Cricetulus griseus: one gene and its partners. The protein of the gene in region 4 interacts with the protein of the main gene of each other region in a pairwise test. Links are inferred from orthologs where the notes say so. Each region holds a gene or a part of one and is shown on either strand. Other genes may lie near its edges. The genes, in order: Bag6, Bccip, Trim54, Cdkn1a, Spred1 and Flad1.

Evidence for each region.
Region 1: the proteins of Cdkn1a (region 4) and Bag6 interact in a two-hybrid assay, tested with the Homo sapiens proteins (2 studies listed by BioGRID and IntAct). The link is inferred for Cricetulus griseus from reciprocal best matches to the Homo sapiens genes CDKN1A and BAG6.
Region 2: the proteins of Cdkn1a (region 4) and Bccip interact in a two-hybrid assay, tested with the Homo sapiens proteins (2 studies listed by BioGRID, with this or other methods). The link is inferred for Cricetulus griseus from reciprocal best matches to the Homo sapiens genes CDKN1A and BCCIP.
Region 3: the proteins of Cdkn1a (region 4) and Trim54 interact in binary tests that used the Homo sapiens proteins (3 or more experiments, as listed by UniProt). The two-hybrid records come from large-scale screens. The link is inferred for Cricetulus griseus from reciprocal best matches to the Homo sapiens genes CDKN1A and TRIM54.
Region 5: the proteins of Cdkn1a (region 4) and Spred1 interact in binary tests that used the Homo sapiens proteins (3 or more experiments, as listed by UniProt). The link is inferred for Cricetulus griseus from reciprocal best matches to the Homo sapiens genes CDKN1A and SPRED1.
Region 6: the proteins of Cdkn1a (region 4) and Flad1 interact in a two-hybrid assay, tested with the Homo sapiens proteins (2 studies listed by BioGRID and IntAct). The link is inferred for Cricetulus griseus from reciprocal best matches to the Homo sapiens genes CDKN1A and FLAD1.

The regions. Positions count from the first base shown.
Region 1 is NW_023276806.1:231,657,285-231,661,489, reverse strand, and holds the start of Bag6 (large proline-rich protein BAG6), read right to left. Parts: upstream 2,801-4,205; 5' UTR 2,777-2,800; intron 2,573-2,776; exon of another isoform or gene 2,314-2,572; intron 2,283-2,313; exon of another isoform or gene 2,092-2,282; intron 1,781-2,091; exon of another isoform or gene 1,639-1,780; intron 1,538-1,638; 5' UTR 1,525-1,537; coding exon 1,417-1,524; intron 1-1,416. UniProt on the Homo sapiens protein: ATP-independent molecular chaperone preventing the aggregation of misfolded and hydrophobic patches-containing proteins.
Region 2 is NC_048596.1:67,160,233-67,164,282, reverse strand, and holds the start of Bccip (BRCA2 and CDKN1A-interacting protein), read left to right. Parts: upstream 1-1,250; 5' UTR 1,251-1,281; coding exon 1,282-1,443; intron 1,444-4,050. UniProt on the Homo sapiens protein: During interphase, required for microtubule organizing and anchoring activities. During mitosis, required for the organization and stabilization of the spindle pole.
Region 3 is NC_048600.1:13,268,719-13,272,750, reverse strand, and holds the start of Trim54 (tripartite motif-containing protein 54), read left to right. Parts: upstream 1-1,232; 5' UTR 1,233-1,649; coding exon 1,650-1,817; intron 1,818-4,032. UniProt on the Homo sapiens protein: May bind and stabilize microtubules during myotubes formation.
Region 4 is NW_023276806.1:257,585,731-257,589,748, forward strand, and holds the start of Cdkn1a (cyclin-dependent kinase inhibitor 1), read left to right. Parts: upstream 1-1,218; 5' UTR 1,219-1,458; intron 1,459-4,018. UniProt on the Homo sapiens protein: Plays an important role in controlling cell cycle progression and DNA damage-induced G2 arrest. Involved in p53/TP53 mediated inhibition of cellular proliferation in response to DNA damage.
Region 5 is NC_048599.1:61,431,556-61,435,634, forward strand, and holds the start of Spred1 (sprouty-related, EVH1 domain-containing protein 1), read right to left. Parts: upstream 2,801-4,079; 5' UTR 2,681-2,800; coding exon 2,649-2,680; intron 1-2,648. UniProt on the Homo sapiens protein: Tyrosine kinase substrate that inhibits growth-factor-mediated activation of MAP kinase. Negatively regulates hematopoiesis of bone marrow.
Region 6 is NW_023276806.1:65,142,621-65,145,937, forward strand, and holds the end of Flad1 (FAD synthase), read left to right. Parts: intron 1-56; coding exon 57-246; exon of another isoform or gene 247-1,812; intron 1,813-2,414; coding exon 2,415-2,488; intron 2,489-2,600; coding exon 2,601-2,736; 3' UTR 2,737-2,817; downstream 2,818-3,317. Other genes in the region: Lenep (lens epithelial cell protein LEP503), read left to right, coding at 3,268-3,317. UniProt on the Homo sapiens protein: Catalyzes the adenylation of flavin mononucleotide (FMN) to form flavin adenine dinucleotide (FAD) coenzyme.

The DNA of each region.
Region 1 (4,205 bases), about 26 Mb from region 4:
CCTGTCTCGAAAAACAAAACAAAACAAAACAAAAACAAAAACAAAAATGAATAAAGTCTTAAAAACATTTTTTTTGAAGCCAGGTGGTGGTGAACATCTTTAATCTTAGCAGACTCTGTGAATTCTAGGCCAGACTGCTATACAGATTGAGTTCCAGGATAGCAAGAGGTACACAGAGAAACCTGGGGGGATGACACACCTGATACACCCTCAAACAACCATTTCCACCAATGGCAAGTAATACTGGGTTGGGATCCAGGGTCTGGGAAGATAACTAATGAAGAAGTAAGAAGGGAGCCCAGGAGGTTTCCTAGAGTTCAGGGGTAGGTACTTTGTGCTAGGTCCAGGGTTCAACACCAGTAGGAACATCCCCCCCCCAATAAGGGGAGGAGGGAAAATGAAGAACCCAAACAAACCAACGTGGTAGCACACACCTGAGACCCCCAAATTTGGGAAGCAGAGACAGGAGGATGACGAATCCAAAAGACAATCAGTTCTAAGACACTTAAAACCCTACCTCAGCCAGGCAATGGTGGAGCACGCCTTTAACCCCAGCACTCGGGAGGCAGAGGCAGGCGGATCTCTGAATTTGAAGTCAGCCTGGTCTACAGATAAAGCTCCAGGACAGAGAGGGCTACACAGAGAAACCCTATTGGGGAAAAACTAAACAAAACAACCTAAAACAAGTCAGGTATGCTACACCTAAAATCCTAGCACAGAGGATGGAAGTCAGAAGGTCAAAGCCAGCCTGAGCTCTATGAGGTATTGCTGTCCCTACCACCCCCAAAAAGAATCTTCCAAATTAGACAGTAACTCTTGGTAAGGGCCATCAGACACCTACTCACGAAAGTGTACCCGGTGTTCCCAATGTTTTATAAAACCACGAAAGTGACCCGTTCATGATTTGTTCCCGAAAAGATTTATGCAGTAAAGACAAAGATAACTGTGCCCACACTGCACCCTGTAAGCTCGGGAGGTTCAAACCACCCCTCAAGATATTGGCAATCCTCCTGAACAGAGCACAAAAGCAGGCTCCCGGGATCTATAAATACAGTGTTAAGGCCGAGAACAAGTTGTTCAAAGACAGAGCAAACACAGCACACTTGTCTGAGGCCCCGGTGCTGCTTCCGGTCCCCCAGGCCGGAATCATCCGTGTCCCTGTGGGCAGAGGTCCGCCCAGGCCAGGTACAGATTCCTCCGCGGCATTTCCCTCTCCACCGAGCTCCACCGAGGTGAAGGCGGGCGGAACAAAACCTGCCTCACTCAACGGTAACCACACCTCCTCACTCAACAGGAACATCAGAGGTTCTACCGAGGGAGGGACAAAGGAGTCGGTGACAAGACAAGCAGGCTCGCCCCTCGGAAGGCACACGAGCGAAGCGGGCACACACACCGCCGCCTCTCCCCCCGCCTCACCTGGGCCCCCACAATGAACGTCCGAGTCTGAGAGTCCAGGGTCTTCACCAGGACCTCCAGGCTGTCGGGCTCCTCCATAGCGGTCCTGGCACTATCGCTCGGCTCCATGGCCGACAGCTCTCTACGGAGAGACGAGGGAGGGAGGGGGTGGTTCGCCGCCGCCCGCTCGCTCGCCCGCTCGCCCGTCAGTCCGTCCGCCCGCCCGCCCCGCCTTCTACACACCCGGAAGAGCGTCCGGGCCCGGCCTCCGCCCCGATCCCTCTCAAAGTTTCTCATACACAAACACATCCACTCGTCCTCGCCCTCATCGCCCCCTCCTCGGCCCCGAGGCCCGGGAGGAGAAACACAAAGGGCAGGAGGGGGACGGCACCGGGAGGCGAAGGGCGAGCGGTGGGAGGGGCTCCACGGTGCCAATCACGGTCGGGAGAGCCAGTTGGGCTACGAGCCGGGCAAGCAAGCACGAGACCGACCGGACACCAGTTGTCATCACCGGTCGCGACCCAGCAAGCGCCCGAGAGAGCGGGAGAGCCGAGGACAACGCGAGGGGGGGGCGGGGGGAGGGTCGGGTCGCGCCGCGCCGCGCCGCGCTCGGCGGACAAAGTGGCTCCGCGCACGCGCGCCACGGCGATCGAACCCGCCTCAAGCACCACAGGCGCCGGGGACGCGGACACTCACGGGAGCCCGACCGGCTCGCTGGCCGCCCGTCCTTCCGCCTCCGCCTCCGCCGGCGTTGCAGCAGCAGCGCGCGCGGCCCGACACGCGGCCCCTCACATACAGACACACGGACACACAGACACACGCACACACACGCACGCACGCACGCACGCACACACACACACGGCGAGGCGCGGCGCAGCGCCCCGCGGCTCCGCCCCCCCCGCCGGCTCCCCGCCGTACCGTCACTTCCGGCCTCCCCCAAGCGGGCACCACAGGCCACTTCCGTTTCCCCGATCGTATTTGGGGCTCTCGAGGCGGTACTTCCGGCTCCCCCAGGCTCCCCCCAATCTGCTTCTGCGGGGCACGACGAGGAAGTCCGCAGCCCCAGACAGTGAGTTCCCAGGGGCCGAGACGGGCCGGGGCCGGCCTAGATGGGAGGGAGCCGACCACCCCGAGGAGCCGCCGCCGCCGCCGCCGCCGTCGCCCGGGGGACCGCACTGCGCCTGCGTGAGCCGCGCGGCGCGTGCGCACACCGCAGCCCCGCCCCCCGCCCCGCCCCGCCCCGCCTCGCCTCGGGCTGCGTGCGTTTCTCCGCCGCCCCCCGCCCCCACCCCCACGGCGCGCGCCCCGCAAGCGCCGCACGGCCGAGGTGGCCGCCGTAACGCCTGAAGGAAACCCTCGCTGAGCGGGATGCCGCCCCTACCCGGAGAGACGCTGTGGACGCCCGTGGGGGACTCGTGGGGCTGTTGCACGCCGTGCGCCTGCGTCCGCGTTGGGCGGGCAGAGGAAACGCACGGGCACAGCCCTAGCCACCTAAGCCCCGGCAGGGCCTCTGGTCCTCCCGCACTGCCTGCGCTCCCGGAAGCCGCTCCCCCCCGCCCCCCGCCGCCCGACGGTTGGACGTTCCGTGGGCCGTGTGCGCTCGCACCCGAGCCGGACCGGGCGGCTGCGCGCCTCGCAGACTGTGGCGTGTGCTGAGGGTCGTTGGTTGGTCGAGGGCGCCCGAGGGAGCGCCATGGTTCAAGACCACCGAGCGTTTCGCCGCTGGTGGAAGCGGGGCCGGCGCGCGCCTGTGACCCCGGCCCCCGGAGGCCGGCCTGGGCTACGCCGGGAAGCGCTAGCGCTCTGGAAAAGACAAGACCAAGCAAACCCCCAGCGCGCGTGCCCGGGCCACAGGGTTAAAGGGCGAGAGAAGGGGTTGGGGGTTCCCCGCTCATCCCCGCCGGCAGTGAGCACTGTTTAGTGAGCAGTGGTTGCTTTGTCCCAGCCTGAATGCTGAGGCTTTCACCGTGTTCCCCTGAAGTGCCTGGAACTCCTCACGCCCCACAGCCCCACAGCTCCACGCCACTGCCCGGGGCTGGCATTAAAGTCGCCCTGTGGCACCCGGCCAGACGTCATTTATTTATTTTTCTGAAACGCGGTTCTCACTATGTAGATCTGGCTGTCCCGGAACTCAGGGATCCACCCACCTCTGTCCTAAAAACATTTTTTTGGAGGGGGAAGGGGGGGCGGCGGGCTATGTGCCTTGCATCTACCACAGCAGCCTAAGTGTGGAGAAACATACCGGAGTCCCCTTCCCACTGTGGGGACCTGGGGATCAAAGCCAGGTCCTCAGGCTTGGCTTGGTATCAAGCACCCTAAACCCACCTTTTAGTGTGTCCTCATAAAATTGGAAGGGCTGGAGTGGGAGGGCACTTGCCCGGCAAGCCCAAGGCCTTGGGTTTGATCCCTTGCTCCCACACACAAGCCTGAGCATCACTCCAATAGAACGGTCATGCCTATCACCGCCCACGTTTTTGTGATTGCTTTGTAGCAAGATAGTAAGTACCAAGGGTGGCCTGAATGGCAGTCGGACTCTGGCCAGCGTGAGTGTGTCCAGCATGGATCTGGCGATCCTTACCCTTCTCTTACTCCCTCTCCCCTGCTCAAAACTGTTAGGTTACATTCCTGAAGATAGTCACCATTGTAGGGATATATTTGTGACTTATTAAAGCTTGCCTGAGGATTCAGGAAGCAAACCCTTTTTGGCCACTACCTCTCCCTGAGGCTGACTACCAAGATCAGCTATCAAAGTATTGAAGTCCAGCAACCGAAAGCCCCCTTTGGCTCACCTAATTAACATGCCCAACTAA
Region 2 (4,050 bases), on a different chromosome or scaffold from region 4:
AACCCAAGTAGAGGTCTGGATTTAGGAAGTAGCCATTTTAAGTTACTCTATCAGAGGTGTAATCCTGGTGTCATTACTGTCCACGATATAGACTGGTACATAAGAAGCTCCCGGGACACCTAGATCTCACCGTCATGGGAACTCTGGGTTAATGGGGGCCTTGGTGTCCTGACTGATGAAGAATCATTGGGGCTATTCACATTCCCTAAATTTCTCTGGCAAAGGCTTCCTTACTTCTAGGGGCAGCTCACTCTGGTTTCGGAATTAAACACACCTCATATGCTGCCGTAATTTTAAAGAAAAAAAAAAAGGGAGGGGGAGAATCACAGAGCCTCTTGTCAGGAAGTTAATGTTTTCTCTAGTTAATGATCTTTCTCAATAACCTTTACAAGGAGCTTCAAGTCAGCAGACTGTAGGATAAACCTGACTGGTAGAAGGTTCTAACCTTCAGGATGCTCCTTGCAAAAATCTGGCTTCTCTTAAAATCTGAAACTTTGGACCAGTACTTCATTTATCCACAAGTAGTGGCAGAGGCGGGGTAACACTCGCTAACTTGCCGCAATCCCTTTCTTTCGGTTCTATTCTTTTCAAGCAAGTCTTTTAACGACACTGTGGTCCCATGTGGTCGTCTTGTCTACTGAGAACTTTGTTAGGGAGATGGCATGGGCCCGGCCCCTGCCAGGATCAGCCGGCCTTCTGGCGCGGACTCCGGGAGCGCCGGTCAGCCCCTCTTTGCACGGGAGTCACGGATCGCTAGGGCCTGCGTGCAAGTCCACAGACCTGTGCCCTAGTCGGGTCCTGAGCCCGACACCTACCTCGCGGGCTCAGAAGCAGGACCGACCTGCACGCCGCGGGGCAAGAATCTCGCGGTCCCTGTCGGGGCTGCTGAGCACAGACAACCGGGAGCCGCCCCTCACCCGGCAGCTAGCGGTCCCCGGGCTCGTACCTCAGGCGCGTGGGCCGCCCGTACACATCTGGCTGTGCACGCGCACAGGCATCTAGGCGCCGGCGGAAGGAACGCAGGATGGGCCCAACCACTGCGCACACAGGAAAGACCCGGAGAGAATGAGGACGGCAGGAGGATGGAGGGAAGAAGAGAGGGTCACACCATGACCCCGCGGTGAAGATAAATCTGTCACATTAGTTCTGCGGGACTCATCCAGGGCTCTGTCTGGGTCGCGCCGACTCCGCGGCGAACTTTTTGAGCCTGTTTACCCCTAGGCCAACGATAGACCGGAAGGACAGGGGCGGGATTTGCGCAGGCGCAGTGTGGCCGGCAGCATGGCATCCAAAGCTAAGAAGCGAGCGTTGGGAAACGGGGTTCAGCGGCCTCTGGGACAGCAGGACCAGCGCGAGGAGGAAGAAGAGGATGAGGTGGAGGGTGAGGAAGAAGACGATGAAGACAGTGACGAGGAAGAGGATGAAGACGAGATCGTGGACGAGGTGAGGCACATGTGACCATATTTTTGGGAGAAAACAAAATTCAGGCAACCGAAGCTGTGGTAAAGTGATAGTCGCTGTGGTTCAGGAGTTGAACCTTACGTGGTACATTCTTACCCAGGTTCTCACCTCAGGCTTTTCTACACATAACTCCTTGAAGCCCTGCCCGGGTGAATTACATCCCCCAGAAGCCGGCCAATCCCACACACACTTACTTCAGTGGCCCAAGTCTTTACTGGCCCAGCGTACCGACGAAGTTTCTTCTCTCCTCTCCCTGCTACACTGGCTTGCTCACTCTGGCCCTTTGCAGTTTCGTAAAGGCTACCTGCATTGTCCTACACTCTTCAAACGCTCTTCATCCTGCATAGTTTCCCCTTCGTTATGTCTGTCTGTCTGTCTGTCTGTCTAATCACAGCTAGACCGTATTTCCTGCCTCCCTGGGACAGCCAACGTGGTCAGATTTGGTTTTGTGGTCTCACAGAACTGATGTCCTTTCTTAGTACCTACTTTCCGGTGGTTGAAGCCCTTCTTTCTAGGTGAATGATTAGGATTCAAACAGTGTTCAAGACAATTGCTGTCTAGGGACTTCAGACTTGACGGTCCAAAGCAGGGTTTATAATAGTTCCCCAGTTTGCCGGTGTTATGCCTCCTATCTCACCCCTCACCCAGTCCATCAGTAAATTCTATTAGCTTTTTCCTTCAGTATCCAGGCACATATTGATCCTGCTACTATTCTAGTTCACACTTCCATCATCTCTTGTCTGGTTACTATAAAGGTTTTCCTTTTTTTTTTTTTTTTTTTTAGATGAAATTAAGACTGGGATAGCCACAGCGAAATTACCTGTAACTTTATTTTGTTGTTTTTGAAGTGCTGCGAATCAAACCCAGTATACTGTGCATGGTAGGCAAGCACTTTACCATTGAGTCATACTTCCAGCCATCTATAGTAGCTTTTCACTGTCATGCCTTTCCATTTTTGTCCTTCTACTGTCTGTACTCCATTTACTGCCAGAGAGATCTGGCTGGTCTATTCTACTCTCCCTCATTGAATGCTCTAATGGCTTCCTATTTCCTTTGTAGAAAAATCCTAAATCCTGTTTTTGAAAGACAGGGGGATGGGGTGGGGGTGGGGTAGAATATGGATTCAGCCAGGATGGCTGGCTCAGAACAGGCAAGAGAGAATGAGTGAAAATGGTCATTGACGTGAATGTGCAAGGGAGGAGGAGTTGAACTGTAGTGCGGCTTTGGGAATGAGGCTATGATGTGGATATGTAGCTTGTCTACCCTTCCAAGTCATTGCTTTGCTTTGTCTATCTTGCTTTGAACACCATCTCAACATTTTCACTTAGAAAAATGTTTACCAGCTGTTTTGCTACCTTAGGGTTTTAGAAGTCAGCACTTCTTTCATTAACATGGGAAAATCTTAACAGATTGCCAGTGACTAAAAATGTGTGTACTGTAATTATAAAATGTGGGGAGAGGGAACCACAGATGAGAGATTTCCTCAATCACGTTGGCCTGTGTGCTTGTCTGTGGGCATCTGCTTAATTAATTGATATGGGAGAGTTCAGTGCACTGTGAGTGATGCCACCCCTGGTCCTGGGTGGTATAAACAAGCCAGTAAACAGTGGTCTCTGTGGTTTGCTTCAGTCAGTTCTGGCCCTGAGTTCCTGTCCTGACTTCCCTCCACAAGGAAGAATTACCTGGAAGTGTAAGATAAAAGAAACCCTTTCCCTCCCAAGTTGCTTTTGGTCATGCTGTTTTTCACAGCAACAGAAAGAATGCCATCATTGATAATAGTGTAGCAATATAAGCACTTACATGCTCTGTTAGTGGAAGCATAAATCTGTGCAACTTCTTTGGAGGGTAATTTGACAGAATTTATCAAAATTTAAAGTACATATAACTCCTGACTCAGTAACTTGTAGGAATTTACCCTCTAGAAATTGACAGTGATAATAACAATAACTATATATACCCCCAGGCTCTGTGCATTTTGTATTAGCTCATTTAATTCTCATATCAGCACCATAAACTTAGGAATTGTCACTATTTTACAAGTTAGCCCACACAGCAAGTTAAGGCAAAATGTGTATATATAGTTATGTAGAGGAAAAAAGAAACAAAGGTGGGGTGGGGGGGATCCATCAGCTTCTGTGTTTGTTGTTTGACAGTACCGTGAAGAGAAGAGGAAATCCTTGGTGGGTATTTCTTCCTTCATTTAATTGAAGAAGGCTTTCATTTTCTGATACATTTATTCACCCACAATTAATTTCTCTGATGTAAAAGTCCATGAAAATTATCCTGGAAGATCAGAATCAATCTCAAACCTTTTAAAAAACAATGGTCTATCAAGAATAAAGGAATGTGTATAGCTCAGGTCCTGCAGAGGTAGCTTTTTCTCTTGGATTCTGTTGCTAGCTGCTTACCAAAGTGGTTAGAGGACTGGGGGACATATGCCTTCTTTTTTTTTTGGGGGGGGGCGGTTCGGGACAGGGTTTCTCTGTGGCTTTGAAGCCTATCCTGGAACTTGCTCTGTAGATCAGGCTGGCCTCGAACTCACAGAGATCCCCTGCCTCTGCCTCCCTGAGTGCTGGGATTAAAGGTGTG
Region 3 (4,032 bases), on a different chromosome or scaffold from region 4:
AACTGCAGCATTCGGAATGTTTCCAGCCACATCTGTTCTCACACTTTTCCTTTTTTATATGTGTGTGTGTGTGTGTGTGTGTGTGTGTGTGTGTGTGTGTGTGTGTGTGTCTGCATGTGTGTGTCTGTGTAAATGGGTCTGCACATCTGTCTGTGCATGCCTGTGGAAGCCAGAAGAGGGCGCTGAGTCACTCGGAGTTGTGGTAAAGGGTGGTTGTGAGTGTTGGGGATCTGAACTCCACTCCTCATGAGACTGTCTTAACCATTGAGACATCTCCAGTCCACTACTGTCTCAGATTCTAAGCAAATTTAGCGTCCCTGAAATGGCTTCAGTGGTAGACCAGAATCACACACTCTCATGCCCTGATCATAAGGCAGGCCTGGGCTGGCACAGCAGCCATCTCTTGCCTCTTCAGCTGCTCTCCTAGGATGATATAACTGGCCATCCAAGGGCGATGTAGTTCAGTAAGCACAGTGCTTCTCTAGTACACAAAAGACCCCGAGTTGACGCCCAGAACCTCGTAAACTGGGAATAATGGTGTTCTCCCCTAATCCTAGCACTTTGGATGTAGAGTCAAGAGGATCAGGAGTTCAAGGTCATCCTTGATGACAGTGAATTCAAGGTTAACCTAATCTACTGAGAGCCTGTCTTTAATAAGGGAGAGGGAAGTTTGTGGCTAGATTGCTCAATAGGTAAAGGCATTGGTCACCAATTCTGATGACCTCAGTTTGATTTCTGTAACCCCCACACTGAAGAAAAAGAAGTGACTCCTGTCAGTGACCTGTGACCTCCACATATGCTCCATGTCATACCTACCCCTCCCTAAAGTAAATAAATGTAGTTGTTTTTTTAAGGCTGAACAAGAACAAATATGGACCAGACATATGGGACAAGAAGTTCTCTTTTGTAGGGTCTGGAGTTCCACTTCTGAATCCTGAGTCTCCAGGAGGAGGGTCAGGATCAATGCTCAGTATAAAAGGGAGAGACAGAAGTCTGTAGATCCGTCCAGACCATCCTTCCCACCCTGAGCCATGTGTGCTGTCTCTCCCATGTGCTAGTTTCTGTTAGGAAGAAGGTCTCAAGCCAGAACACGGAGAGCAGAGGTTGCAGGAACCTTCCCAGTGACAAGTGAGCCCCACACTGACCCACCACCCACTGAAAGCAGTGACACCCCTGCTGCTCTTCTTGCTCAAGAAAGCCACCAGCTGAGTGAGTCAGGGTCACTCAGTCCGGGACAGCTGTGGCTCGCCTTACATGAGCTAAATTGGGAACTGGAATGTCACACAAATGCCCCTTGTCTCCCTACCCCCACAGTAATATTAACCTCTCTAGCGAGCAAGGGACAAAGAGTACTGCCTGTAGAGTGAGCACGAGGGTGGTTTGGGGGAGCAAGAGAATTTCTCAGGGGGAGCTAAAGGGACAAGTTTGTGGAGACGGCTCTGAACAGGGAGTGCAGACAGAAGCGTCTGGAAATAGCCAGGGTGAGAGGGGCCGTTAGAGGGAGAGAAACAGGAAACATCACCCTTTCAAGAGGGAGCAAGATCAGGGATCCTAAGAATCCACAGACAGCCTAAAGTTTACAAGAAGTGTGCACAGGCAGCGAGAGAAGGCCAGAAACAGGGCCAAGGCAGGCACTAGAGCGCCAAGGGATGAACTTCACCGTGGGTTTCAAGCCGCTGCTAGGGGATGCACACAACATGGACAACCTGGAGAAGCAGCTCATCTGCCCCATCTGCCTGGAGATGTTCTCCAAGCCCGTGGTGATCCTGCCCTGCCAGCACAACCTGTGCCGCAAGTGTGCCAATGACGTCTTCCAGGTGGGCTTGGGGACAGCTGGGTCAGGTCTAGGAAGGGACTGGGTGGCAGGTCCCACAGGCGGGAGATGGTGACGCTGCCCCAACTCAGTGGCAGGAGAGTTGGAGGCTGTGGGATCCCAGAGGAAGCACGAGTCAGCAGTTGCCCAGAGCCTGGCAAGCACAGCCTGTGTGCACAGCGTCAGAAGGAGGACCCCAGGGAGACTGGCAGAAACTGGCAAGGAGGGTGGTCTTGCCTGGACTTTGTGGGAGCCTTACTAGATTTCATTTACTTTGAGGCTTTGTGGTTTTATTTATTTACTTTCTTTACACACCATAGATGAGATCAATGAAATATGAGGTATTAAAAAAATAATAGAGCCAGCAAGACAGTGAAGACACTTGCTACCAAAGCTGACAACCTGAACTTGATCCCCAAAACATAAAATTAAACCCTAGAATTAAAAATTTGTGACAAACCAGTGAGAAAGCCTATGATGCCAGCCGAGCTGTGTATATTTGAGATAGAGCTCCTCTCTCCATGAGGGAGCTGCTTAGACACAGTGGGCCAGGGAAGCAGAAGTTTTCCCCAGTTTCACACCTGTGAGCCCTCCTGACCTGGTGAAGAGGCCCATGGACCAACTGATACTCAGGTGATTTATGGACAGAGAGAAGGCAGAAGCAGAATTGTACTTCCCAGAAATGCCTGTGTAGCTGTGGTCATGAGGCCGGGCATAGCTAAGTTAAGTCACTGATATCATTCTGTCCACACATTTCAAAAATAAAAACAAAAAAGCTGGGCATGGTGATGCATGGCTGCAATCCCAGCCCTTGGGAGGTGGCAGCCGGAGAATGAGTTTAAGGCCAGCTTGGGCTATGTGAGACCCTGTCTAACCAACTAAATAAATGCATACATCATAATTCTTTATAAATTCATAGGCTTGCTTTCCTACCCTGTATCATTCATAGAGGTTCCAGTAGGCTGTAAACTAGATCAGAGGTCAGGGAGAGCGAAGGGACAGGACTCACGTGTACAGACATGAGACCTTGCAGATGAAGTAAAAACTGCAAGATCCGGGTGGCTTGGTGCAAATCTGTGACAGAAGCATCAGGAATAAGATTCCAGCCAGGAGCCAGGCTGTGTGACACATGCCTGTGGTTGAAACACCTAAGAGGACCACCACAACTAGAGACTAGCCTGTTATACATAACTCCCACAAACTAGAGGCTAGCCTGGTGTATGTAACCACCACAAACTAGAGACTAGTCTGGTCTATGTAACCCCCACAAACTAGTGGCTAGCCTGGTCTACATAACCACCACAAATAGAAGGTAGCTTGGTCTATGTAACCACCACAAACTAGAGGCTAGCCTGGTCTATGGAACAATTATACCAGTATATCCACTGGCTATGTATAGTAAGACCAAGTCTCAAAAATTAAATAAAAAAGTGGTAGGGCTGGAGAGATGGCTCAGTGGTTAAGAACTCTTGTTGCTCTCCCAAACAACTCAGTTTCCGTTCCCAGCATCCACATGATAGCTTACAACTGTCTAACTCCAGTTCCAGGGGACCTGATGCTCCCTTCTGAACCCTCCCCTCATGGGCATTATGCATGCAGGCAAAATACATACACATAAAATAAATCTCAAAAAGATTATTCCTGCTTTTCACAGACTATGAGGGAATGAGTTGAGCAGACATTTTCACACCTTTTTCCCTCCTCTCTTTGGTGCTATGGTTAATCCAGGGCATTGTGTGTGTTAAACATGCATTCTACCATTGCTCTACACCACAAGCCCCAACACAAGCTATTTTTTTAAAGATTTATTATGTATACACACACCAGAAGAGGGAACCAGATTTCATTATAGATGGCTGTGAGCCACCATGTGGTTGCTGGGAATTGAACTCAGGACCTCTGGAAGAGCAGCCAGTACTCCTAACCTCTGAGCCATCTCTCCAGCCCCAGCACAAGCTATTTTTAAAAAAATATTTCTTATTAGTGTGTGTGTGTATGTGTGTGTGTGTGTGCGCACAGAAGCCAGAAAAGGGTGTCAGATCCCCTGGAGCTGGAGCTGCAGTGTTTGTGATGTGGCAGCTGGGAACCAAACTCTGATGCTCTGAAAGAGCAGCATGTGTTCCAAATGGCCAGGCTGTCTCTCCAGTCTTGACACAAGTGGGTCTTAACTTCACTGAGAACATAGCCTTTTAGGTTCCTTGGCATAGCAGGCTTTCTTG
Region 4 (4,018 bases):
TTTCTTTTTGTCATGGCCATGAATGTATATGCAGGCACACATGCCAGGTTCTCATGTGGAGGTCAGAGAACAACTTTCAGGGGTTGTTTTTCTCCTTCTTCATGTGTGTGGGTTTTGGGAGCCAAACTCAGGTCCTTAGGCTTGGTGGCGTATAAACTGATGGTGTGTCTGCTCTATGGTATGGCTAAGGGGAGGTATTTTTTTTAATGTAGTTATGAGGAGAGAAAAGTCAGAGGCATCTGGAAGAGACCGGAGCAGAGAGAGAGAGTAGTAGAGGGAACATGGCCAGTGGACTGGACTTGTCCATGAGTGAAACAGGAGCAGAGAGAGAGAGAGAGAGAGAGAGAGAGAGAGAGAGAGAGAGAGGGAGAAAGAGAGAGAGAGGGAGAGGGAGAGGGAGAGGGAGAGAGAGGGGGCAAGCAGAGAGAGGGAGAGAAAAGAACAGGGAGAGAGCAGAGAAAGGGAGAGAGCAGAGAAAAGGGAGAGAACAGAGATGGGGAGAGAGCAGAGAGAAGGAGAGAGCAGAGAGAAGGAGAGAGCAGAGAGGAGAGACAGGGAGAGCAGAAAGGGGGTAGAGAGAGAGAGGGAAGGAGGGAGACAGAGAGAGCAGGCCACAGGCAGCTGTTTTTTTCCTAAGCCCTGAGGGTTTTGTTTTGTTCTTCTCCTTTTCTCTTTGCTTCAGTCCATGGGCATTGATCCCTGGCATGCTAGGCAGGGGCTCGACCACCAAGCTTCATCCCCTAATTCTTTGGTTTTGCTCTTTGCATGAAGTTTCATTTACTGAAACCTCAGGTTGACCCTGAATTCACTCTACAGGCCTTGAACCTTCCATCCCCCTGCTTCAGACTCCGGCCTGACAACGTGAGTATTCTCCCAAAGGCAAGTCCCTTTCCACCCTCTTCCCCTCTGTTCAGAAACCCTAGGTTAGGGAGGATGGGCGGCTGATGGAGCCATTTCCAGCCAGTTGAAATACAGAGAGGGAGATTGGACCTTTCTTGAGGTCTCAGGGAGTGAACCCCCACCCTTCCAGATCTAGGCTGAGCACAATGCACCCCCTATAAGAAATTCTGGGGGGCTTCCTAGCAAGCTGTCTCCTAGGTCCCCAGGGGATTCAGGAGATTTGCCAAATAAGGGATTTCCTGCATGTGGGCCGGTAACTCCTTCGGCTTTGATGCTGTTTTTTTTTTTTTTTTTTTTTTTTTTCCTTTCCTTTGAAAGCTGTGTACCAGAAGGAGGAAGTGGGGTCCTGCTGTGTGTGGAGGCAGTGTGCACTGTTCCTTTGTCCCTGTGTGGACCTCATGGTTTCATTTCTTGTGGTGCTGGATGGTCCACATATGTGAGAACCCATTTCCTAGGCGCCTCTGCAGTGTTCTCTCGGTCTGTGCCTCAGCGGGAAAAGCCTAGGATGACTTCCTAGGCAGGAGGACATCCCATCTGCTCATAGAGACTCCGCAAGAAGTAAGTCACATCAACTGTGTCCCCAGCCAGGGACTACAGAGACCTCTGCAGCCATACACGGCCATCTGTCAGCTTCCCATCTATGGTCTGGTCTAGAGAAGGCAATTTGAGTACTCCTGAGCCAGTTGACAAAGTGCACACATCCTCTTTAGAGCCTTCTCCTTCCTCCAGCCCAGGGAATAGACCTCCAGGCCCTCAAGATTGGGAAGCTATAGGACAGAAAGGGCCTGGACCTCTGACTCACTGCATGGAGAGCACCGGCCACCTAGAACACCTTTCCTGGATTCACGAGTGTGAGAGATGATCTCCTTCTCCCTCAAATCTTTACCTCAGTGAAGTAACTGGCTCTGTTCTATCTTAGTTTCAGTTGGTCTCACGTAGAATGAGTGGGCCTCAAACTTATGGCAGTCCTCCTGCTTCTTCCCCTGAATATCAGGGGTGTGTTGCCACACTTGGTTCAGTTTAAACAGATCTTATGTGGCCTAAGCTGGTCTCAAAGACATGATCTTCCTGCCTGGGGTTATAGGTGTGTGCCCCAAGCACACCCTTGTCACATTTCATAGTCTGTCTGTTTCACAGTGCCAGGCCTCGCTCCATGTCCCCTTCATGCCCCCTCCATGCCCCACCCACCCTGCCAGCTCTTCCTCAGCCCTCTCCTAAGCTCTCAAATGTTTCCAGGAGGACACATGGTCCCCTCTCTACAAGTGCAGGTCTCTAAGAAGCCACAGAAGATCAACAGAGGACATCACACTGGTGACTCCTGGCTCTGCAACCATAGTGCGGCCACTGTCACTGGGGCTTAGAGGAGCTGCTGCTACATTCCGGGGTGGTTCTGGTGCCAATATAACCCCAGAGGAACCCAGAGACACCTTAGGGCAAAGACAAAGATGAGCAGCTGATGGAAGGGGCCACAGTAAAGACCCGGACTCACCCTGACCCCTGCCAGAGTCATTCCAGCCAAAGCTAGCAGCTCCCAGGGCCTTGTTTCCTGTCATCTGCCTACCTGTGCTGGGTGGAGGGGGGGCCATGGTTCTGAACTTCTGAGGCCATTGCCCCACTGTGCAATCAGAGGCTCCGAACCCCAAATCCTTAGCACTTTGATGGTGTATGCTGGGGCTTGTCTTGGGACGGGCTTTAACAAAGAACAGAAATAGTAAAGAATGCCAAGTCCTCTCTTGGGGACCATCCAGAAAGTTGAGCTTGAGGGAGGGGTATCTTGAAGGCTGTTTGTTTTGTTGAAACAGGATCTCATGTAGCTCAGGATGTCATCCAATTCAATTTATAACTGAGGATGACTTTAAACTTCTTTCTTTTTAAAAAAGATTTTATTTATTATGTATACAACATTCTGCTTCCATGTATATCTGCACACCAGAAGAGGACACCAGATCTCATAACGGAATGTTGTGAGCCACCATGTGGTTGCTGGGAATTGAACTCAGAACCTCTGGAAGAACAGTCGTTGCTTTTAACCTCTGAGCCATCTCTCCAGCTCCCTCTTTCTTTTAAAGATTTAGTTTATAGTTATGTGTATATGAGTGTGAGGTTTGTGCATGTGAGTGCAAGTGCCTGAGGAAGCCAGAAGGGGGCATCAGATCCCCTGGATCTAGAGTTCCAGGTGGCTGTGAGCTACCAAATGTAGATTCTGGGTCCTCTGCAAGACCACTATATACTCTTAACTGCTAAGCAATCTAGCCCCAAGACCTTGAACTTCTGAACCTCCTGCTTCAATCTCCTGGTGCTGGATGACAGGTGTGTGCTGCCACACCCAGTTTATACAGTGTTGGCATGGGTCCCAGGGCTTTGTACATGCTAGACAAACTCTATTGACTGAGCTACATCTTCAGTCTATAATTAGATATTTTAAAAACAAAAATGATTGAGCTGCATTTAAATTTGTGTTTTTACCTAACAAACCACATTAAAACCCATTGGTGTGGGTTTGATTCTTACATCACAACAAGCAAGGATGAAGAAGGACATAGCGAGGGCCCAGTGTAGTGGTGCTCACTTTTAACCTCAGCACTCAGGAAGCAGAGGCAGGAACTGGCCAGCACAGCAGGTAAAGGCATTTGCCATCAAACCCGACTGAGTTCCATCCCCGGGCCCACCTGGTAGGAGAAGACTGATTTCTCTGACATCCCCGGGGCCCCATGAAACACATGCACCCACATGCATGTGCACACACACTCACTCACACAAAATAAATAAAGTATAACATGTGCATACATATTTTTTAAGAAGCACAAGCTGAAGCCAGGCACAGTGGCACATACCTTTAATCCCAGCACTTGGGAGGCAGAGGCAGGTAGATCTTCATGAGTTTGAGGCCAGCCTGGTCTACAGAGTGAGTCCTAGGATAGCTGGGCTACATAGAGAGACTCTGTCTCAAACAGACACAGGAGAAACACATGGCAGAGCGGACAACATCTGAGGAATGACAAGCAGGGTTGGATTTTCTGGTGTGACACACCACACGTATACATACGCACCCTTACCTACACAGATGAACACATACATACAATATACAAGAAAGAAAAAAGAAGTTGATTTTTTTTCT
Region 5 (4,079 bases), on a different chromosome or scaffold from region 4:
AAGTGTGGGTGCTTCATCCTATTCTCATTCATTTCCTCATTTGTCACTGTTAAAACAAAGCCTTTTAGATAATACATCTACTAATTCTTGATTAGATATACAATCACCTCAGTTAGCTATTTCTCTACTAAAAAAAAATCTAAATTCAAATGGTTTTCAGAATGAGTATTCTAAAAGGCCTTATTATATTTCAGTACAACAGCTATCCATTAATTTTTAAAAGTTAACAGTCTTCAAGAAATTAGTAATTTTTCGCCTTCTTTAAAAGGCTAAAAACAAAGAAAAATGAAGCAATAAAATGCTAAGAACAATTTCTACTGTAATTAAATCCCTTTGAAAAAGGGAAAAAATAATACAAGGCCATTTTAAACTATACCTAGAACCATGAGTGCCCTACTGTATCTTTCACTCCTTCATAACGTATGATTTTAAGTAATTTTTGAATTTCCATTTTCAAAACTTCACCTCCTACGATAAAGATGAGATCTACAAATGACCAGATTAAAATTGACATTCTAAGAAATCCACTTTGTGGTTGAGCTAAGGCACAAGTAAACAATGTAAGCTCTAGCAGCAATGACTACCAGGTGAACACAACCATTTTCTAACGTTAATTAAAAAAAAAAAAATGCCCTAGGAAGAACCTTTCAGAGGATAATACATCCTAACATAGACGACTCCTTTCCTGGGGAACAATGTATTAATAAGGCAGGATATATTTGTGAAAACAATTTTAAAAATCTGGATGAATTATTTCCAAAGTGTTCTGTTTCAAAGCATCAATACCTTGAGGGTTAAAAACATCGGAAATATTTTTGTTTCATTTAGTGCAACAAAGGTTCCATCCACTGAGATCTCTCTCACACTTACTTGCACTTTCAATTTGCCATAATACCAAAAAAAAAGGCCCGTTTTGAAACAATCTATCATATGTCTGCATTAGTACACACCCCATCATTTGTTCCTCAGCCGCATCAAGGAAATAATACTTTCTAAACTATTAAACTGGTAAGAAATCTTTCCCCATCTCTAAAATAGGTAAGATTTTATCCCAGCTGCTTTCCTCCAAGATACTAATTAAAGTCCCCGACAATCCCTTCAGCATTTCCGCAGTTTTTCTCCTAACCCAGCACCATCTGAGACAGGCTTCTAGATCTAGCTCAAAATAGGTCTAGTCTGCGGAAGGCAGTGACAGTGTACTGCACTGTGAATGGACAGCCAGGTATTTTATGAATGGAGGCGATCACGTGATCCCAGCACCTCCCCGAACTGATATTTCCCACATAACTGTGTCAACATTCTGAGAACTGGGGTAGTTGTTTGTGTGTGCGTATGTTCTAAAATTTAATCTAAAACTTCTAATTCTCCTCACTTCCCGAACTCAAAAATCTACATAAAGACAAACAAGCTTCGAATGTTTTTCTTAGGAAACCCTTTCAAGTTGTCCAAGGTGATGGATGTTTAATTATTTTTTTTATGAATGAAGTGTGCTATGCAAATGAGGGCGATTCACAAAAAAGAGAGAACATGGCGGCCACTTCTGCTTCTAGACTGCACTGACTGCAGCAATCCACCTCCTTCCACGCCCTCTCCCTCAGTGTGTGCTTTTCAAAGAGGGGGGGACGCTGCCTGGTATTTTTCTAGCTATTTTATGCTAAGCGGGCTTCGGCACTGGCCCTTAAAGCCTTCTCGAAGAGGTCTGACTTGAGGAATGTACTTTATTTAAAGGAATGCATCCTCATTTAACTCTTCATAACCCTCCAGAAACAAACAAAACTTGAACTCAATCACAAGAAAACGGACGCCAATATTCTGCCTCAAATTAACTCCCTTCTCAACAGGAAAATCTTACAGCACCATTCTTCCTCCAAGCGGCTGCTATATTTAAAAGGCACAGTGCTTCGTTTGGAAAACATAAGGACAGCCCAAATAAGCAAAAAACTTAAAGTCGCGGAATGCTCTAGATGAAACTGACAAAGTCACCAACGCGTTCGGCAATGTAAACGGTGCTTTATCACAGACGAAAGCCAGACACTAGCATTCAAAATTCCTAATTGTTCTGTTCTTAATGAGGACGAGTTCAATATTCGCCAAGGTCTAAAACAAAACAATAGCTCAACATCGCCCACACTCCAGGTGTTCTTAATCCTATTTAATTCTTAAAATGTTTCCCTAACCCTATTTTTTTTTTTTTACCAGACCAGTATAGGTCATAAGTTTAAAAAGTGGGACAGGGGGCGAAGGCTTAATCGGCAGCATTTAAGAGTCACTGAGTCATCGAATTAGGATTCGAGAGCAGTTTGCGGCAGGAGGTGCACCCACACATTAGTTTCCGAGCGAAATAGATGTAAAGGGAGATGGCTGGATGTTCAAGGTGCTGGGGGGGGGGGGGATGCAGGAGTGAAGGGCAGGCAAAGGGTAGTTTCTACTCCACTTTGAGCCACCCACATTACTCCGTCTCGGAGACGTCCGATTGCTACACCGCCTCTGCTCCGCACTCGATAGCCTTCCCCAAGCAGGGAGGCGATTGCAAAGATGGAAAGGGGTGCTGCCATGAAAGAACACAACCCGACGACACATCGGGCATCTATCACCTCCCGGGCGGGACGGGCTGGGGGGGAGGGGGCTGCCCACCAGGGCTCGCTTACTCGTTGTCAGAAGTCGCCGTCTCCTCGCTCATCTTTCCCTCACCGTGATCCGCTCAGGAGATGAAGGAGCAATAGCAGGCGGGGAAGCAGCGGCAGCGGCGGCACCGAGGGACGGCGGGCCGGCGGCGGCGGCGGCCGGCGGGGCGCGCGGGCAGCGGCTCGGGGGCCTCACCATGGTGGACGCCTCACCCGGAGCGGCGCCCCGCGAGCCGGGCAGCCCGGCCACCCCCGCAGGGGGGCGGCGGCAGTGAGCGCGGCCGTGGCGACCCCAGCGGTTCGCTGTGCCGAGGCCGGGTGCGACGCCGAGACGGCGCGGGCGGCTGCAGGCGCTGGAAGGGACGCGGCCGGCGGCTGAGGCGGTGCAGCTCTCAGGGCGCGCCGACTGGAGGGCGGCGGCGGGGGCGGGGGGCAGCCGAGCGCTGGCTGCGGGCGGCGGCGCGGTCCGCCGAGGTGCCGCGCACCATCTCCCGCCTGGCCGCCGGCTGCCCGCGCGGCGCGCCGACCCGGTCGGCCCTCAGGGGCTCCCTCAGACGCGCTCCAGCTGGGGGCCGCAGGCAGGGCGCGAAGTGGCCGTCCGAGCCCGAGGGCACAGTTCCGAGCGGCGGCGAGGAGGGCCGAGACCAGCGCAGCTCCGCGGGCCCGCTCCTCACGCCCGCGAGAGGGGAGCCGCGAGGGGGGCGGCGGAAGCTCTCACGCCGCCCGCTCCTTCCGCCGCGCGAACCGGGGGCGCCCGCGGGAGAGGCAGGCGAAGTAGTCCCTCGCGACTTCTGGGGCGCGCGGGAGCAGGCGGGCGGGCGAGCGGACGGACGTGGGGCGCGGCTGCGAGCGGGCAGCGCGGGGCCTCTGGGAGGTGGGGGAAGACCTAAAAGCCACGGCCCGCAGGCGAATCACTGCAGCTCGAGATCGTGGGCAGCATAACAAGTTTCCGAAAAGTAGTTCCCTCCTCCCCTCGCTTCCCAAATCGTCGGGCAGCGGGAGCGGGGCGAGGAGGGCGGCGGAGGGATATACCGCTGCACCGCGCGCGTGTGCGTGCGCGCGCTCCAAACTCTTGGCACGCCGCGAAAGGGGGCGGGGGGTGGGATCTGTGAGCAGAGCTGCTCCGGGACTGGCATTGTTGCGACGCGCAACTCCCCGTTACTCAGCCTGGAATGTCCAGGTTGTCTCTACAAACAGGCTGCACATCCACCGTGTGTTCGAGGAAGAAATCAGAAGGCCGCTCCGTTCTGCTCGGTGCGCGTGCACGCGCGCGCGTGTGTTGTGTTTTCCTTGCAAAGAATGGAACTGGCTTGAGTTCATCTCTAGTTAGTGGGGGTTACAGGGCAGGACTGCAAAGCGAGCTCCTCCTGCTGTCCCTCTAGTTGCATTGCTGTAGTCCCCTAGCTGCTTGCACAGGGGAGTGAGGAGAGAAAGTGTGTGTGTGTGTGTGTAGAA
Region 6 (3,317 bases), about 190 Mb from region 4:
CGAGGGTCTGGGCAGAACTTGCCCTGATGCTCATCTCTGTTCTCTTCCTCCCTAAGGTATAATCTGCAGGTATTAGAAGCTGAGGGCAACATGAAGCAGGCCCTGGGTGAGCTTCAGGAAAAGCACCCTCAGCTGGAGGCTGTCCTAATGGGCACCCGTCGGACTGACCCCTACTCCTGTAGCCTTAGCCATTTCAGTCCCACCGACCCTGGCTGGCCTTCATTCATGCGCATCAACCCGCTGCTGGTAATGCAACAGAATCGTCTGCCTCAGTTCCCTGTACCTTCCCCTTGCCCACTGGGAGGAGGCTAGAGCCCAGAGGCTCTGTCTCTCAAGGGAGGCAGTGCTATTTGTTCATTCATCCTTTTAACCAATATTGAGCACTAATTCAGTGACAGGCATTGTGCTTTTCACTGTGGTCAAAACAGTGACCTGGACCTATGATAGCAGTCAGGCTGGAGACACGACTCAGTGGTTAAGTGCACTGGCTGCTCATCCCCAGAACCCGGGTTAAATTCCTAACACCCACATGGCAGCTCACAGCTATCTGTAACTCCAGTTCCAGGGGATCTGACACCCTCACACCAATATGATAGTAGTCATGTGTTCATACTTGAATTGAAATTGAAGTGAAATATAGGGCTGGAGAGGTGGCTCAGAGGTTAAGAGCACTGACTGCTCTTCCAGAGAACCCAGATTCAGTTCCCAGCACTCATATGACAACTCCTAGATCTGACACCCTCACACATACATGCAGGCAAAGCACCAATGCACATAAAATAAATTATTTAAAAGAAAGAAAGGAAATATAGATCATGGGGCTGAGGATGTAGCTCATTTGATACAGTGCTCGCCCAGCACACCTGAAAATCATGAACAGTGGCTCATGCCTGTGATTCCAGCCTCAGGAGAGTTACAAGTTCAAGGCCAGAGCTGGCAAGATGGCTCCGACATTAAAGGCACTTGCTGCCAAATCTGATCAAAGATGACCTCACTTTGATCTCCAGGACACAGATGGTAGAAGAAAAGAACTGACTCCCACAGCTTGCCCTTTGACCTCACACATTCCCTGTGTGGGCGAGTACACAAAGACACTCACACAAATACATACAATTTTTTTAAGGTTCAAGGTAAGCCTTGACTACATTGTGAATTTGAGACCAGACTAGGCATATCAGACTCTGTTTCAAAAATAGAAAAGAAAAAGATACTAATGATTAAGACTAAGAGGCTGAGGAAAAAGGGTTATGTGACTTCAAACCCAGCCTGGCCTACACAGTGTCTTCTAGGCCAGCCTGGGTGAAATCCTGTCTAAAGAAAACAAAAGCCCTGGACTATTTACTTTCAAAGGGTGAAATTTATGGCATGTGATTCATAATGTCTTTTTTTTTTACTTAAATAAAATTTAAAAATAAGTTAATAGGGCTGGGGAAGAGCTCAGTTGGTAGAGTACTTGCCTAGCTTGTACAAAGTTCTAGGTTCAATCCCCAGTACCACATAAAAGCAGTGTGGAGCTCAGTTGGTAGTGTGCTCCCCTGGATACACAGAGTCCTGGGTTCAGTCTGTAGCACCATACTTACACAAGCCTGCCCATTCCCCACTTGCCCTGTTTCACCAATCTAGGTGCATATCACTGGGGACTTGGGAGTGGCAGGAGGAACAGAAGTTCAAGGTCATTCCCAGCTGTATAGAAAGAGCCTAAGATGTGTAAGACATACCTAGTGGTGAATACCTCAGCTCCCAGCAGGTGGAGAGATAAGGCAGGAGGATGGCCATCTTGAGAACTGCATGAGCTAGCTACATAGTAAGACTCTGCCAGGAGGAAAGGAAAGAAAAAAAAAAACAAAACACTTTTTAAACAAATAGTTTATGCGTATGGGTGTTTTGCCTGAATGTATGTTTGAGTACCATGTGCACACCAGGTGCTTGAGGAAGTTAAAAGAGGATGTCAGAGTCCCTGGAACTAGAGTTACATATGGTTGTGAGCTGCCATGTGGATGCTAGGAATTGAACCTGGGTCCTCTGGAAGAACAATCAGTGCTTTTAATCCCTAAGCCATTTCTCCAGCCCTAAAAGTCACTTCTTAAGTTATACTAGCCACATTTCAAATGCCCATGGGGATAGACACTTCCACCATGGCAGAAAGCTCTAGACTTAAACACATAGTCGGTCATTCCCCATCCTCCTGAAGCTTCTACCACAGGGGCAGTGGCTGGGGAGTGGAAGCTGACAGGGGTAAGGACTTTCCCTACCTCTCTATTTAGCCCACACAGGGCAAGGTACAGCAGCCATCCAGATAGCAGCAAGCCTTCCCCAAGGCCAGGGGAACAAAAGTACCTCTGATGGGTCTATCCCCAGGATGGCAGTGGTGGGTGTGGTGAGGAGACTTCTAGTGACTGATTGTCATTTCCCAGGACTGGACCTACAGAAACATCTGGGATTTTCTTCGTCAGCTGTTTGTCCCCTACTGTATACTATATGACCGAGGGTAAGGTTGGTGTGTGTGTGTGGGGGGAGGTGGGGTGAGAGGATGCTGGAGATATAAGGAGGGATAACGAGAGCCCAGCTATCATTTACATGCTCCTGTTTCAACCCTCCAGGTACACATCACTGGGGAGTCGGGAGAACACGATGCAGAACCCAGCCCTGAAGTGCCTGAGCCCAGGAGGACACCCTGTCTACCGTCCAGCATACCTACTGGAGAATGAAGATGAGGAAAGGAACTCCCGCACATGATCTCACACACTCTGGACAAGACTGAGGGACGGGGCTGGCATGGGGTGTAACCTGTCACGTCAGTAAACTGTACCTCACACACCATTGTTGGTGCCTGTTGCTCTGGCCATGCCTTCCTGCTTTAAGGTCAAGGGAAGCAGAAGTGGACCAAGGCTGCCAGCTCTGAGCCAGCAGCGCTCACTCGGGGGCCCAGGGATGGGCTAGAACATACTAGACAGGGAACTAGGGATGCTCTCTGTCAGCCTTAGCCAGAGCCACCAAACGGGAGGAGGCAACCAGACAGAACTTCTGCTTTGAAGGGAAGTTAAGCTCTCTTGGCTGTAGAGGGTGAAAGATGGAGTGGCCACGCCCTCCCTTCTAACCACCAGCACCCCTGTCTATAGGGCTGACTCAGCCTGTTCCAAGGCCCAGAACCTTCTTTTGCTAGACCCTAGAGCCTTTGTCTTTAGTCATGAGGCCTGGTGGGGTGGGGACAGTAGATAAAAGGCCCCAAAGGCAGCATCCACACCCTTCCACTGAACTGCTGTCCACATGAAGCCACCAATGCAACCCCTAGCCCAGGCCCTGCCCTTCTCTCTTGG